Linked DNA regions of Coturnix japonica. The protein of the gene in region 2 interacts with the protein of the main gene of each other region in a pairwise test. Links are inferred from orthologs where the notes say so. Each region holds a gene or a part of one and is shown on either strand. Other genes may lie near its edges.

Evidence for each region.
Region 1: the proteins of SPDEF (region 2) and NKX3-1 interact in a two-hybrid assay, tested with the Homo sapiens proteins (2 studies listed by BioGRID). The link is inferred for Coturnix japonica from reciprocal best matches to the Homo sapiens genes SPDEF and NKX3-1.

What each region holds. Positions count from the first base shown.
Region 1 is NC_029537.1:2,308,714-2,313,058, reverse strand, and holds the start of NKX3-1 (homeobox protein Nkx-3.1), read right to left. Parts: upstream 2,919-4,345; 5' UTR 2,778-2,918; coding exon 2,564-2,777; intron 1,088-2,563; coding exon 714-1,087; 3' UTR 1-713. Other genes in the region: NKX2-6 (homeobox protein Nkx-2.6), read right to left, coding at 4,344-4,345.
Region 2 is NC_029541.1:4,213,918-4,218,278, reverse strand, and holds the start of SPDEF (SAM pointed domain-containing Ets transcription factor), read right to left. Parts: upstream 2,821-4,361; 5' UTR 2,432-2,820; intron 242-2,431; 5' UTR 225-241; coding exon 1-224. UniProt on the Homo sapiens protein: May function as an androgen-independent transactivator of the prostate-specific antigen (PSA) promoter. Binds to 5'-GGAT-3' DNA sequences. May play a role in the regulation of the prostate gland and/or prostate cancer development.

The DNA.
Region 1 (4,345 bases), on a different chromosome or scaffold from region 2:
TGGTGGCATCAGGGAGCACCAACAGCAGCTCTGTGCCCACTGGGAACCTGTGGGCCTTTGTTGCTTGCAGCAATGTGGGGCTGAATGCCCCCTAAACCCAACACATATGGAATCCTTGGGGGAGATTTGCAATTGATGGATTGCAGGTGGAAATGCAGATATTTTTTGAGATGAAACAGCTGGTGTATGGGGTGAGCTGTTGTGCTTCACCCAATCAGTGATGGGGGGCAAAGAATTGGGGGTATAAGCAGAGGGATGGATGGGGGACTGTGTTTTTACAGGCACTCATCATATCTTGCTTTCTGCCCCCAAAACAGTGCCCTGTTTGATCACTGTTAGAAGCTTTGAGGATGTTTAGTTTGTAGGGCTTTTTGTTTCTCTGGCTAAAAGCCTGGCACTGAGAAAGGGTGGTGATGCAATGAGAGGGTGCTGAGCATCGCCTGGGATTCTTTGCTGCAGATTGAGCCTAGTAAAAGCTTCGGGGATTTATTATTGATAATAGTAATAATAATAATAGCAATAATAATAGTAATAATAATTATAATCTGGATCTTTAATTTTTGATCATTTCTGATTTCTTTGGCTAAAACTCTCACGATGACAGAGGCTGGAACTGCACAAGAGGACACTCGAAGTCGACATCTCTGAATCAACATGGCCAAGGGCACCATGGCATGAGGGGGGTGGGCTAAAAAACACACCATGCACAGCTCTCACCACACAGCAGGGCTCCAGTAACAGAGGCAGGGCAGGCAGCGAGCAGCCCCATGTAGTGCCAGCAGTGGGGCTGGGGGTAGAATAGATGCTTTATGAGTGGTCCCAACCTCCAGGCTGGAGCCCCCCGCTCTCCTCTTGGTCTTGTAGCGGCGGTTCTGGAACCAGATCTTCACCTGTGTCTCACTCAGCTGCAGGTTCTGGGCCAGGTGGGCACGTTCAGGGGCTGACAGGTACTTCTGGCGGCTGAAGTTCCTCTCCAGCTCCAACACTTGGCTGTGGGTGAAGGCTGCCCGTGAGCGCTTTGCTGGCCGGGGGGGTCTGGGCAGCACCTTCTGGGGTGGATCATGGCTGCATGGGGAGTTATCAGCATCTGTAAGGGGAGAGGGCTGAGCATCACACACTGAGAACTGCCCCAAACTCTGGGTTATTTGGGTTTTCATCACCCAAATCACTTTTTCTCTCAGTATTTTCACCATCCAGACTGCCTATTTCCTCACTTCTTTCTTTCTTATCCTCTCCATAGAGTGAAGCATTCAGAAGCCACTTTCCTCCTTGCTTTCTAGTTGCCCAGACCCCTTATCTCCTTACTTTTGCTCACCCAAATCATTTGTTTCCTCCATTTTCATCACCCAAGTCACTTGTTCTGTCATTACTCACATTTCTCCTTTTCCATTCACTTCCACAGAGCAAAATATTCACAAATCACGTTTTCTCCTTGCTTTTCATCACCCACATCACTTATTTCCTCTGTTTTCATCGCCCCAATCACTTGTTTTCTCATTTTCCCATCACCCAAACCTCTGATTTCCCTACTTATTTTTCCCCTTTCCTACCCCTTCCTATAGAGCAAAACCTCCCCACCACCCTGGAGATCCTCCAACACAGTGATTTCTCTGCTTGATAGACTTAATCTCATCCAAGGGAGCTATTTTCTCCCAAACAACCCCCTCTTTTAGCTCCTACAAGGAAAAAGCAACCCCCAAAAGGGCCATTTTTCATTGCTGGTGACATCTCGAGGCTCTGCTGTTGCATACAAGGTGCCATTGGGATTTTTACAGCATCACCTGTAAGCTGTGCAAACCTCTCCAGCCCTTTATTCACTTTTATATAGGAGCTTCTATTAACAGAAGCGACACAGAGAGCCCAGATTCCCCTTGCAAGGTCTCTCTTAGCAAGCTCAGCTTTGCTTATTGGATGTTGCAGCTCAGCTGCTCCCATTGCACAGCTCAAAGCTGCACTGCATCTGAGTTTTAATGCAATTGCATGCGATTTGCAGCACGCTGCTTCTGCAGGTTTAGCCACTGCATGCTAAAAGGAGGTGCTGCTGGGGTTGTTTCTATAGGAGTAAGGCTGATGTGCATAACACGCATTATATGCAATGCAATAGGTAGGAGCAGAGCGTTGCAACTGGTGCTGAGAACCAGCATATACACATAGTCTGCAGTGCAACAGGCAGGAGCAAAGCATTGCAGCTGGTGCTGAGCATGCAGGAAAACAAGCAGCAAGTGCAACAGTGAGCTGCAATCAATGCACTGTAAGTACAGCAGCAGCAGCACCCAACAGCTGCACCAAGGGTTGCATTTGCATTAAAAGGAATCTTAAGCTTGCTATTGCAGAAATGCATCCTCTAGGCTTTTTAATAACCAAAGTTGGAGGTTGCTCCTGTGCTTTGAGTTAGCTGAATTGCCTGCAGAATGCTTTGCATGCAGTTGCTGTTGCTCTCAATGCTCCTTGCATTTGAAGCCTGAGTAACTTGGGAATGCATGGGTTGTTTAGGTCAGAGGAATTCAAAGCTGAACCCTCATCCTGCTCTAAGGGTAAGTATCCCACAACACCCCCCCCTTACCTTCATTCACATCGTGGGGCTGTGCTGGGGACACTCCAGGGCCATCCTGCTGCTCTCCATCCTCTGGTATCCCACCTTGATCCATCTGTGCCCCATTTTCAACCCCATCCCATAGGATGTCCTGGATGAGGAAGGACGTCCGAGGTCTGGACGAGGTCTGCTGGGGGCTGCTGGAGGCTCTGTGCCCCCCAGGGCTCAGCACCCCAGTGCTCATCCTCTTCCTCCTCCAGCTGCCTGCAGGCTCAGTGCCTCCCCACCCTCCAGCTCAGCATTTATTGGGCCCATGGCCAAACCTCCAGGGCCTGATTGGAGACTGGGACGTGTCTACACCCTTTGCTGGTGTCCCAGCATTGCAGGATTTCTGCTGAAGCACAGCAAATCCCTTCTGCTGCCTTGCTCAGGACACCCATCCCCATTGAACCCTGCTGGGGTAACCCCATGGCTTTTATTCTCCTCTTAATTCTAAGAGCAAGATACCCAAAGGGTGTTCATCTTTTTGGGGTAAAAGCAGGGTTTGGGAGGTGTCAAAATAGGGTTGTTAGGATATGATGGTGCCACTTTGGATGGGTGCTGTGGGTGAGCAGAGCACCTTTTGCATCTCGACCCTAATCCCAGTGGGATGATGATCTGAATGCTGCACTTCTGGATGTGATTTATATCCAGGGCAATCCCTAGAGCTCAATGGGGAATGCAGACCCCAGTGGGGGTGAAATCAACCCCAAACCCCAGACTGATTCCCCACTGTTGTAGACCATGAGTTGCAGAGCAATACTGATGTGAAATCAATATAATGATGGTAATGCTCAGAGTAATTAAAACAAACAACCAAACAAGCAAACAACAGAGCAAAAAGCTCAAGAACAAAAACTCAATAGGTTTGCAGAATATTGTGTCATGAGGTTATGTGTTATTATATTGCATTCTGATGTAGGGCAGCCCTGGGTGAAGTAGGGAGTTGGACTCAATGAGCTTTGGGGTCCCTTCCAACATGGGTTGTTCTATGCCATGATGGTGTGATATTGCAGAACATGCATCTTTCCATTTGAAAACACATGAATGAAACCTGGGAACCACCCAGAATTTGGGCAATATCCCACTTTCCAGCAAGTCCTTTTATTCCAGTGATGCTCATTGCATTTTCCTGCAGCTGGACCATAAATCTCTGTGATGTTGGAGCTGCCCGTGTGCTCAACTCATCTGTCCATAGGTCTGTCCTCAATGCATGGCTCAGTCCTCTTTTCCTTTCAATGCTGACTGCAGAATAACCCATAACATTGGTCCAAAAGCATTGGTTTGGGGTTTTTCAGCTCCGGGGACCCCCTCATGGCCATTTATTGCATTACATTTTGACTGATTTGGGTTTTGTGGGAAGAGATCTGCCTCATTTTGAGGTGGGCAGTTTCTAATTTGGGCTGTGCCTGTAAGTCATTAAGAAATACGAATATCCCAAAAGACGAGAAGAACTCAAAGCCTTAAATAGAGTGCTCATGGAAAAGCAAAGGCGCAGTGGTGTGCATAGACCCTGTTCCCTTAGCAAGAAAAGCAGCATCTGATCCTTATGCATCCCACAGGGGCATCCCTATGGGGTGGGATGGGCTCCATGATTATGTCCTAATAAATAAACGTCCCTGGCACTGGGGTCCCCAAATCCTCAGCACCAAAAGTTCCTTTCCTTGGGCTGGATGGTGAGGATGGATGTGCCACATCCTGCTGTCCATTACGGCTTTGGATGCCCCCATCCCTTTCCTGGGCCACATCCCAAATGGTGCTGAGCCCAAGCTC
Region 2 (4,361 bases):
AAGGGCAGCCCCCCCTGCAGCTCCCCATCGCCCCCCAGCCCCAAACCTTGGCTGTCGATGATGGGACACTGCTCCGGCTCCTTCTTCACCTCCCCTCTCCCCCCGGGGGTGCCGCTCTGGGACGTCTCCCCCATCCCTTTGGCAGCCCATGCGACGTCCTCCGAGTAGAGCATGTCGAAGTAGTGCAGGCAGAACGGGGTGCTGGGGGGGCTGGGGCTGCCCATGCTGCCAGTGCTCAGACCTGGGATGGGGAGGGGGGGAGGAGAAGCTCAGGCACAAAGCAGCGCTAACTAAGCCTGTTAGAGGGGGAAAATCCTACAAAGAGACGCACAGCATCCGGGCAGCCCTCGGAGGAATGTTGGCTTGGGGTCGTGCCGGGGATGGACCCGGTTTTGGGGTGGGAGATGGAGTCTGGATATGGGGCACTGGGGGGTCCCAGATGGGGCTGAGCCCCTATAGCCCCTGTGTGTGTGATGCACAAACCCTGCAGGCCCAGTGATGTGCATGGGGAGCGTCAGCTGATGGACGGCTCTCCTGGGCCACATGGATTTGGCCACCCCTGGATCACAACTTTCCCTTCACTCTCCCACAACAAAAGCTGCTCCCATTGCTCCGTCCCCGTTCACTGCGGGCTCAGGAGGATGAGGCTGAATGATTCCTGCAGCAACCCCATGGACCGGCTCCATCCACTGGGACAGGGAACTGGGGAACGGGGACGAGGGGAAGGGGCAGCACTGAGCTGCACAGCAACCCCTCAGCCTGGCAGTGGGGTCCCCCCCCATCATCAGTTTCCCTGAGCGATGGCACAGGCTCCCAAACCTCCCCTTTATCTGCAGCGGATGAATAGAGGAGCTTTAGCGGATCCTCCTTCATGCAGCCCCACGCTGCTGCGGCACAAAGGGACGCGGCGACAGCTGCTCGGCCCCCAACCCTCTGCCAGCCCTAAGATGGGCACGGGGGGGATCGGGGCGTTTGGGAACGTGGCCCCATTGCAACCCGCTGAGCTGCTCTGTGCTCGCAGGGCGGGGGCCGCTGTTTGCCTTCCCTGGGTGGGACCTGTTTGCTCGCAGCTTCGGGTGCCTTTTTTCCCCCTTCTCTCTCCCTTGTTGTTTTTCCCTAGAAAACTGGAGCTGTGTCCTATATGTCCCTATGGCAGCGCCATAAGGTACGGCCCATCAGTGCTGGTGTCAGCCCCATGTGGGGAACGGGGATGGGAGCCGTGGGGACACCGCAGTGCCCCGGAGCAGCGACACCTCCACAAACAGCCTTTAAACAAGGGAAATTAAACAGAAATAACCCCCCCCCCTCCCCGACCCTCGAACAATGGGGCCGTTAATTACTGCTAAGCCGCGGTGGAACAGGTTGTGCCGGGCAGGTGCTTCCCAACCACCCCCCAGGCACTGAGACCCACAGCCGCCCCACACATCCCTACTGCCAGCAGGACACCCTGCACCCACCAACCCCAAAGCGACAGCTCGGACAGGACAGGACCCAGCAAAGTCCTTTCTGCCCCCAAACCTGTTTCTATTATCAGGGATTTGGGGTTTGTCCCCAGTTTCTTCCATCAGCAAACAACACACAATATGGGAGTCCCCAAACCCTACACTATGCCCTGAGACACCCCATAGCCAGGCTGGGGATGTGGGGCAGATACAGAAACGCAACAGATCAGGGTCTCACTATGGGGTTGCAGCCCCACACGGAGACAAACCCAGTGCACAGCAGGGATACAGCCCACCCAGGGGTCCCAAAGTTGCCACCCCCCTCCCCTGACCCCCCATTACCTGCATTGGTGCTGACAGCTGGGCGCTGTGTCCCAATGCCGGGGTCAGGCTGCCCCAGCCCTGCACTATGAGCAGTGGGGTGGGGACGGGCACAACCCAATGGTGTCCCAAGCAAAGCCCCAGTGCTCGGCGTCCCCCAGGTGAGCAGCGGAGCTTGGTGTTCCCCATGTAGGGCCAGGGAGCCCCTATTTATAGCAGGCAGTTCCCTGCCCGCCAGAACAGCCGTATTGTGGGGGATTTGGCAGCCGAGCAGCGTTTGTGTTTCACTAACCGAGCAGAACCATAAAAATCCAACCTGGAGCCAACGTGCCTCCAGCACTCGGGGAGAAAACAGCAGAAATCCAGGGAAACAGCAGCCCTAAGAAGGTGCTGCTCCGGTGACAGGGTTCTGAGATGCCCCTGAGCACACAGCACCTTCATTACGGGACCCAGCAGCTCTGATGGTGAACCCAAATCACCCCATCTCCATAGAGCACGTTGGGGTCTTGCAAACCACGCTTGTTTTTGGGTGATAACCCCCCCAAGGAGCTCACAGCAGGGGATGGCTGTGCCCACAGCTGCCCTGAGATGGGGTGACCATGGCAGACAACCCTACACCCATCCCCAACCACCAGGAGGGTCCATAGGGCTGGTTGTGTGGCTCTTACCTTGACGGGGCTCAGCAGCAGCATCGGTCCCAGCAGTGGGTGGGAAGAGCTGACCCTGCGCTGCTCAGCACAGTGCTCGGGGTGGGCATGGCCCCAGGTGCAGGGCCCCAGTGGGGATGATGCCCCCAGCACCCACCCGGCTCACGGGCTGCCAGGGGACACTGTGTGGGGTGGGGACACAGACGGGGCACAGGGAGCAGTGGCTGTGGGATGGAGGAGGCGTGAGACGGGGACACGCTCAGCAAATGCCTCCTCAGCCCATTATATCCAATTCCTTCCTTATTTACCTGAACAAACAGGCTGCGTGCTTACCTCAGCTGGAGGTGTTTGAACAGCCCAAGCAGGGTTAACCCTTGATGGGGTGCAGCTTGGTGCCAGGCTCAGCCCCACGTGGGACCCCATAGGGCAGCGAACCCCCATCAACCCCTTCCCACCCAAACACCCGCAGATGTGTGGGGTGGGAGCTGAAGGCTCTTGTGAAGCATGGAGCCCCATTGGGTGCACTGCAGCAGCATCCCACAGCACTTTGGGGGAGCGGAGCTGCTCTGAGCCCCCCAGGACAAACCAGGACCTGATGCACCTCCAAATGGTTTGGGATCAGCACAGGGCTGGGGCTCCTTCTCCTCCCCACATCGCTGCTGTGTGGGGCGCAGTGGGGACACACAGTGCTCCAGGTCTGGGTTGTCTGCACCGGCATAAGCAGGAAAAAGCTGTTCTGACCGAGACAGACCCCGAGCTGGTATTTATGGCCACCCTGAACACGTCAAGAACGCAGCACAGCTGGGGCAGTTCATGTACAAAACCAGCCTCCCCTGCACCAAACCCCACACAGTGCCCCAAACCCTCACCAGGTTACTGTCATCCCCTCCCCCCCATTGCATCCTATGGCACACGGGGGCTCCGCACCCCTCCTGCTCACCGATAAGCGCAGGTGTGAGCCGGGAGGAGAGAGGGAAATAAAACCCCACGGAAAGGCGGTCAGAGCCTTAATGTTATCTTATCCTATGGAAAACACTGCCCCCAGATTAGGGCTGCTGCCACCCGAGGTGAGCACTGCTCCTGGTTTGGGAAATACAGCCGGGCTGGGAACACGTGGCAGGGGGAGATGGAGGTGGGAGGGATGGGGGCATGGCAGTGGGGTGGGGGCATGGCATAAATGGGGGGAGCATCCCTATAAGCTGCACAGTGCACTGAGCTGCCCAGGGCTGTGCCCACAAGTGGGTCCCCAAATGGATCCAGCACAAAACCCCGCATCCAACCAAGCGTGGGGAGCTTTATCAGCCCTCATGCACGGAAGCAAAGGTGTGTCAGCCGTGGGGAGTTAAGATACAGAGCAGAACCTCCAGGTGAGCCGCACACCCACACGAATGCTGGGGAACCACTGTGGCCACCATTCCCTTTCTCATTCCCTGGGTGGTGTACGGCCCCAAACTGCAAATCACTGCCCTCCATCACAGCTCCATCCAGATACCAGCACAAGGGATGGCTGCAGGCACAGGCCGTGCACAAAACACCTGCCCTCCTTGCTGGGATGTCAACCAGGGGACTCCCTTGCTCATTAGGTTGAATTATCACTCATTAGCAAGGCCAGGAGCAAACTGGAGCAGGATGCAATGGGGTGGCACAGGATGCAATGGGATGCAATGGGGTGGCACAGGGCAGAGGGGGCTCAGCTCTGTAGCAGCATCCCAAAGGGCTGGGGGTGATGGGGAAGGTGGGGTCCCTATGGACAGGGCCTGCTATGGGGCTGCCCCACATGGGAGCCCACGTCTGCAGCCGCCTGCGTCACCCCGGAGTTGTGCAATGGCAGCAGGTTGCGAGCAGCTCTAGTTACAATATGCAAAAGAGGAAAAGAATAGATTGCAACACCTTGGGAACAAGGAGAGAGGGGAAATGAAGGCCGGCTTTTCTGCTCTGCCTGTGCAGAACA